Sus scrofa: one gene and its partner. The protein of the gene in region 2 purifies or fractionates together with the protein of the main gene of each other region. This does not show direct contact. Links are inferred from orthologs where the notes say so. Each region holds a gene or a part of one and is shown on either strand. Other genes may lie near its edges.

Region 1 (3,749 bases), on a different chromosome or scaffold from region 2:
TTGAAACCATACCTTAGCCACTATCTCATACAAACTGTTTTATATTGGTCCATATGTGTCCATCTTCTCAAGCAAAAGTTTTAAACATTTGCCTTTTTTTTTTTTTAACTTTTTAAGGGCTGCACGTGCAGCATGTGAAAGTTCTCAGGTTAGGGGTCTAATTGGAGCTACAGCTGTGGGCCTACATCACAGCCACAGCAATGCCAGATCCAAGCTCTATCTGACCTATGCTGCGGCTCACAGCAACGCTGATCCTTAGCACACTGAGTGAAGCCAGGTTTTGAACCTGCATCCTCATGGTTACCAGTTGGGTCTTTAACCCCCTAAGCCACAACGGGAATTCTTATAAACACTTTTTTTTTTTTTTTTTTAATGCTGATTCCACCGGGACAGGGATCGAATCCGTGCTACAACAGTGACCCAAGCCACTGCAGTGACAGTGCCGGATCCTTAGCTCAATTTGCTGCCAGGGCACTCCTCAACACGTTGTTCTTAATACCAGCCCGTGTTAAAAGCTATAAATACCTTTCATTAGTCAAAATATCTTCAGAAGGTGGTATCTAGCTTACCCATGATGTTCAGTAGCCAAGTTGGGATCTGAACTTCTTGAAGGGAAGAGGTGGCCTATTCTTGTGTGGAAGCTTCTTAGTTCAGGGTGTGTGGTAAAGGGACAAGCAGCAGGACCTGGTTAGATTTGGGGAAATGAGTGAGGTGGCAGGGGACTGCACTGTGTCCTACTGGGATGGGAATGGTGAAAAGATCAGGTTCTGAAGCAGGATATGAAGGAGGTGGGGAGTCCATCACCTCCAACCAGTCTGCCATAGCACGTTTTTCACCTTTGGCCAACCAGCGCTTCATTTCCTTGTTACTTGGACAGGCCTCTTTTGTGCTTCATTCCTGTGTCCTGCAGCCCAGCCCCACCCTTCTGGGAAACATCCCAATTAGCATATCCAGGGAAAGGAGAGAATTTTGTATTCAGTGTAGGAAAGCCTTGGAAGTTACATACTCTACATACTGCGGATCATGTTGGAGATAGTGGTTAGGGAAGGAGCAGCAGAGAGGGGGGAGACCCAGGAACTAGAACTGTATAAATTAATTCCAAAAATCCGGCTCTTCCTAAAGAATAAATGAGGGCATAAAATGGCTCTGTGTGCCTGTTTACACAGCCAAACGTGTTTGGCATTTTCATTTAATTGTTGGTGACCTTTTCAGTATCCTTTCTAGGTCCCTTCAGGGTTAGACAGGAGTACTGTCAGGGTGGCCAGACTAGAATGAAACTAATTTGGAAAGAGCAAAAAATATGAACTAAGATTTTACGGTAGAGATACAAGTATCAAAGCAGATTTTTGTTCAACGTCAACAAAAAAGGAAACTGATGGGCGTGATAATTGGACGTCGGCGCCATTTTGTGGCCTCATGACGTCACCGCTAACGGGGATGGCGTCACTCCCATGAAGCCACGTGATGGTTAAGCGAGAAAACCTCCCTCTACGCCGACTGAGTAGAAGTTGGTCTGCGTACGCCTGACTCAGGGCCGCTCTCGTGCGCATGCTCACGAAGGCCCATGGCGGCGGCGGGGGGGGGGGGCCCACAGCGCGCAGGTCACGTGTCCTGGTCGTCGGCGCGCGCACCGTTTGCCCCGGAAGCGGTCGGCGCGCGGCGCGGCTAGGCGCTAAGATGGCGGCGGCGTGAGTTGCATGTTGTGTGAGGATCCCGGGGCCGCCGCGTCGCTCGGGTCCTACCATGGCCGTCACCATCACGCTCAAAACGCTGCAACAGCAGACCTTCAAGATCCGCATGGAGCCTGATGAGACGGTGCGAACCAAGCCTGAGCCTGGGAACGGGAGCGACGGGTGCCAGGGGTTCGGGGGGAGGCTGGGATCCCGACGAGAGACGCGGGGAAGACGACGCGGGGCCGGGCCCTGCCCATTCTCCCAAACTGCCCTACTTTTCCAGATTACCCGATGGTCCCCAACCCAGGCCCTGGTGGCTCGGGTGGAGCTCTAGTGTCGATCTCCAGGCAAAGCCCCACCCCCGGGGCGCCTGCCAGGCCCCGGCTCCAATGTCAGCGCCCTCGTGGGGCGCGGGAGCCGCAGGCTCAGATTTTCTGTCGTGCTGCTGTCTCTGGGACTGGGCCTCCTAGTTCCCAGCTTTGTAGGCGTTTCCTCTGGACGTTGGTGGCCGAATCTACGAATAGTGGCCAAGAGATGCCGGGTGATGACAGCAACGACGATGATAAAGATAATAAATGGTCTGAGTTTCAATGGTCCGTGTTTGTTCTTCACCAGTCACTGAGCGTTTTCGTATTATCTTACTAAATCTTCAAAGTAGGCTTGTCATTTGGGGACTTAGTCTTCTTGTTTTACAGATGTGGAAATTTAGGAGTTAAGGAACGTAGACATAGTCGCATACAGCAAATAACAGTAGGGGTTTGCCTCAAGTGAGCCTATGGACGAAACCTTATGCTGTCTTTTTAGCTGAGAAGAGACTTCGAATCTAATATGCGTATTTGGCATTATTCGCACAACTTATCTCATGAAGAAGATGTTTAAGTTCACTTTTTATAGAGAGAGAAATAGATTTTCTCATCAGCCTGTTTGCCTTTGGGCAAGTTAGTTAACAACCTATCTGTGCCTTTTTTTCTTGGACATAAAATGAGGCTAATGGTAATTTTTTTACCCAGTTACAATGAGGATTTAAACTTGTGACACATGTATGTTTACAATAGTACTGTAAACTTAGGATTCTACCACTGAAAACCACTGTCAGCAGCATGGAGTGAGGAACCCTCCTATCGCCCCTTTTTTCTGTTTTTCATTACATTGTGTTTACATTTTCTGACTTCCATCTCCCAAATAAGCGTCATTTCTACAAAAACAGAGTTTGTTGAGTTTTGTTCTCTGTTGTGTCCTCAGTGCCTAAAACTGCACCTGGCACATAGAAGTGTGCAGTAAATACTCCATTGAATGATGGGATAGCCTAGAATGCTTGATTATGAAGCTTAGCTTCTCAGTCATCAGGGCTTGTTTTCTCCCCTCTCCTCCTATACTATAAGGGAAGAGAGAATCTTGGGGTTTGCCATGACTGTGTACCCCTTTCTCCAGGTGAAGGTGCTAAAAGAGAAGATAGAAGCTGAGAAGGGTCGTGATGCCTTCCCCGTGGCTGGACAGAAACTCATCTATGCTGGCAAGATCCTGAGTGACGATGTCCCCATCAGGGACTATCGAATTGATGAGAAGAACTTTGTGGTCGTCATGGTGACCAAGGTAGGTGAGGTAGCTGGTTGGGAGGGTGGGTGGATTAGCTTGGGAGCTGGCCAAGAGCCTGTGTGCCTAAGAGAGATTAACCATGAACAGGGTGGGGCTGAGCTGTGGTGGGATGTGGCGCTAGATAGGGATACTGATGCCTGCTCCCTTTTCTGGGTTTCACAGGCCAAAACTAGCCCAGGCACCTCAGTACCCCCAGAGGCCTCACCCACTGCTGCCCCGGAGTCTTCCACATCCTTCCCATTGGCCCCTGCCTCAGGCATGTCCCACCCCCCATCTCCTGCCAGAGAGGACAAGAGCCCATCGGAGGAATCGGTCCCCACGACATCTCCGGAGTCCGTGTCAGGGTAAGGCAGGGAGCAGCAGCCTCAGCTTGGGCCCTGGCCTCCCAGCACATTTCAGCGCCTACGTCCGTGGTTCCACACACCTGCGGGGAGGGCAAGCCGCCAGAAGCCAGGGTCCGATTTCTCTCTCTTGAATTTG
Region 2 (3,749 bases):
CATACAAATTAACCACCCATTTTTAAACATAGTGGATATTATTTTATTTTATGGTAATATCATAATATATCTGACCAATCCTGTGTAAAGAGACACTGATTATCCTTTTTAAATATTTATTTTAAATGCTGCAATGAGTGTAGATTTTATACATATGCATTTCTGCATTCCTATTTTGTTATTTTCATAGGTGAGGTCTCTAAATTAGACATTTCCAAACAGAGGTGGAACTATATAAAATGTTGATATATATATGTTAAAATCATCTTATGATTATAACAATTTACATTTCAATTGGCATAAGCGTGCATTTTCTCAGCTCTCTCAAAGATTTATTATTATTTTTCATCTTTGCCAGTAAAAGAAGAATTTCCTTGTTTTAATTTGAATGTCTTTCATTACTAGTGAGCTTAATCATCTTTTTATATGCCCATTTGCCATTTGTACTTCTTTTGTAAAATGCAGGATCCTGCCCAGCCCTCTTCTCTTCACCCTAGGGTGAGAGGTGGGTTGGGGTGGGTGTTAATCTTTTCCTTTTTGCTTTGTCAGAGTTCTTTATTTTTAATCTTTTACTTGGGTTGGGTTCGATTCAGGCTTTCATTCTTTCACTTCACTCTAACGGAACATCTATATATCTATGTATAGATATATATGTATATCTTACGAAATACATGTATATTTTCTCCATTAGTCTTTATTTCCCTTTATAGAAACTGGCTCCCGTCCCCCTTCCGTATTTTTTTCTCTTGTCTTCTCTAGTCTCTTTGTTTCTTTCTCCTGTTTTCCTCTCTCTTTGTTTCTCACTCTCTTTCTCTCCCTCATTTTTTTTTTTTTCCAGAACAGAAGTTTTTAATTTTGACCGAGTCGAATCTATCATTCTGCGCCTGGCGCCGCGTCAGCAGACGGGGGCAGGGAGGCGAGAGCCGAACTGGGGGGAGGGGAAGGGGCGGGGAGGAGCGGGCGGAGCGGCTGCGGGAGCTGCTGGGAGAGCGCGGGGTGGGGGTGGGATCACACGGCGGCGGCGGCGGAGGCAGCGGCAGCGGCAGTGGCGGCGGAGGCCCAGAGACCTGAACGCCGAAACCTCGGTCCGTGGCCTACACGGAGCCCTCTCTCCATCTGAGGACCAGGGAACCGCAGTCTTCAACACAGAGGTACCGTGCTCCGCTCTCCCGCCCGGCCCGGCTCAGCCTGCTGCGGCGGTGCCTCCTTCCTTCCTTCTTCCCTCGCTCTCTTTCTCGCCCGCCCGCGCCTTCCCTGTCTGCCTGCGTCACCGCGGCCGCCATGGCTGAGAACGGCGAGAGCAGCGGCCCCCCGCGCCCCTCCCGCGGCTCTGCTGCGGCGCAAGGCCCGGCCTCTGCCCCGGCGGAGCCTAAAATCATCAAAGTCACTGTGAAGACCCCCAAAGAGAAAGAGGAGTTCGCAGTGCCCGAGAACAGCTCAGTCCAACAGTTTAAAGAAGCGATTTCGAAACGCTTCAAATCCCAAACCGATCAGCTAGTGCTGATTTTTGCCGGAAAAATCTTAAAAGATCAAGATACCTTGATCCAGCATGGCATCCATGATGGACTGACTGTTCACCTTGTCATCAAAAGCCAGAACCGACCTCAGGGTCAGTCCACACAGCCCAATAGTGCCGCGGGAACTAATACTACCACCGCGTCGACTCCCAGGAGTAACTCCACACCTATTTCCACAAATAGCAACCCGTTTGGTTTGGGGAGCCTGGGAGGACTTGCAGGCCTTAGCAGCTTGGGCTTAAGCTCGACCAACTTCTCTGAGCTCCAGAACCAGATGCAGCAGCAGCTCCTGTCCAGCCCTGAGATGATGATCCAAATCATGGAAAATCCCTTTGTTCAGAGCATGCTTTCAAATCCTGATCTGATGAGGCAGCTCATTATGGCCAATCCACAGATGCAACAATTAATTCAAAGAAACCCAGAAATAAGTCACCTGCTTAACAACCCAGATATAATGAGGCAGACCCTCGAAATCGCCAGGAATCCAGCTATGATGCAAGAGATGATGAGAAATCAAGACCTGGCTCTCAGCAATCTCGAAAGCATCCCAGGTGGCTACAATGCTTTACGGCGCATGTATACTGACATTCAAGAACCCATGCTGAATGCCGCACAGGAGCAGTTTGGGGGTAATCCGTTTGCCTCGGTGGGGAACAGTTCCTCTTCTGGGGAAGGTACGCAGCCTTCTCGCACAGAAAATCGAGATCCACTACCCAATCCATGGGCACCGCCACCGGCTACCCAGAGTTCTGCGACCACTAGCACAACAACTAGCAGTGGCAGTGGATCTGGCAGTAGCTCCAGCAGTGCTACGGGGAACACAGTTGCTGCAGCCAATTATGTCGCTAGCATCTTTAGCACCCCAGGAATGCAGAGCTTGCTGCAACAGATAACCGAAAACCCCCAGCTGATCCAGAATATGCTGTCTGCGCCCTATATGAGAAGCATGATGCAGTCGCTTAGCCAGAATCCAGATTTGGCTGCACAGATGATGCTGAATAGCCCTGTGTTTACTGCAAATCCTCAGCTGCAGGAGCAGATGCGTCCACAGCTCCCTGCTTTCCTGCAGCAGATGCAGAATCCAGACACACTGTCAGCCATGTCAAACCCAAGAGCAATGCAGGCTTTAATGCAGATCCAGCAGGGGCTACAGACATTAGCTACTGAAGCTCCTGGCCTAATTCCAAGCTTCACTCCAGGGGTGGGGGTAGGGGTGCTGGGAACAGCTATAGGCCCTGTAGGCCCAGTCACACCCATAGGCCCCATTGGCCCCATAGTCCCATTTACCCCCATAGGCCCCATTGGGCCCATAGGACCCACTGGCCCTGCAGGTCCCCCTGGTTCCACTGGCTCTGGAACCCCCCCTGGGCCCACCGTGTCTAGCTCTGCACCCAGTGACACGACGAGCCCAACATCGGAATCTGGACCCAACCAGCAGTTCATTCAGCAAATGGTGCAGGCTCTCGCTGGAGCAAATCCTCCGCAGCTGCCGAATCCAGAAGTCAGATTTCAGCAACAACTGGAACAGCTCAACGCAATGGGGTTCTTAAACCGGGAAGCAAACTTGCAGGCTCTAATAGCAACAGGAGGCGACATCAACGCAGCCATTGAAAGGCTGCTGGGCTCCCAGCCATCGTAATTATACTTCTGTACCTTGAAAAAATGTATCTTATTTTTGATAATGGCTCTTAAATCTTTAAACACACAGAATTGTGCTTTACTTTCATTTTGATTCCTTTAAATCTGTCTAGTTATAAATCTAATATGCATTTTAAGGTGGAGTCTTTTCCTCCCTCTTTGTTTCCTTCCTCCCTTCCTCCTTCTCTCTTCCCTCCCTTCTTGCCTTCCTTCTCTGTTTTGAATGGTGGGAATCAATGCTGTTTCACTCAAAGGTGTTGCATGCAAACACTTCTTTATTCTGCATTTATTGTGATTTTTGAGAACTGGTATCAACCTTTACGGTTGGGTGAACAAGTTTTGTCCTACAGATGTCCAATTTATTTGCATTTTAAACATTAGACTATGATAGTAATTTAATGTAGACTGAAAATATTAAAAGCAGAAACAAATTATTTGAAACTCTAATTTGTGGTACAATATTGCTTATTGTGACTTTGGCATGTATTTTTGCTAGCAAAATGCTGTAAGATTTATACCATTCTTTGATCTTTTTTGCTATATTTATATGCAGTACAGTAAGCACAATTGGAACTGTATACCTAGAAATGTTAC

What was found. The genes of interacting proteins can lie anywhere in the genome.
Region 1: the proteins of UBQLN2 (region 2) and RAD23A purify together in Homo sapiens (affinity purification with mass spectrometry; 3 studies listed by BioGRID and IntAct, with this or other methods). This does not show direct contact. The link is inferred for Sus scrofa from reciprocal best matches to the Homo sapiens genes UBQLN2 and RAD23A.

The regions. Positions count from the first base shown.
Region 1 is NC_010444.4:66,094,237-66,097,985, reverse strand, and holds the start of RAD23A (UV excision repair protein RAD23 homolog A), read left to right. Parts: upstream 1-1,508; 5' UTR 1,509-1,743; coding exon 1,744-1,815; intron 1,816-3,104; coding exon 3,105-3,266; intron 3,267-3,431; coding exon 3,432-3,613; intron 3,614-3,749. UniProt on the Homo sapiens protein: Multiubiquitin chain receptor involved in modulation of proteasomal degradation. Binds to 'Lys-48'-linked polyubiquitin chains in a length-dependent manner and with a lower affinity to 'Lys-63'-linked polyubiquitin chains.
Region 2 is NC_010461.5:48,947,108-48,950,856, forward strand, and holds the start of UBQLN2 (ubiquilin-2), read left to right. Parts: upstream 1-954; 5' UTR 955-1,281; coding exon 1,282-3,156; 3' UTR 3,157-3,749. UniProt on the Homo sapiens protein: Plays an important role in the regulation of different protein degradation mechanisms and pathways including ubiquitin-proteasome system (UPS), autophagy and the endoplasmic reticulum-associated protein degradation (ERAD) pathway.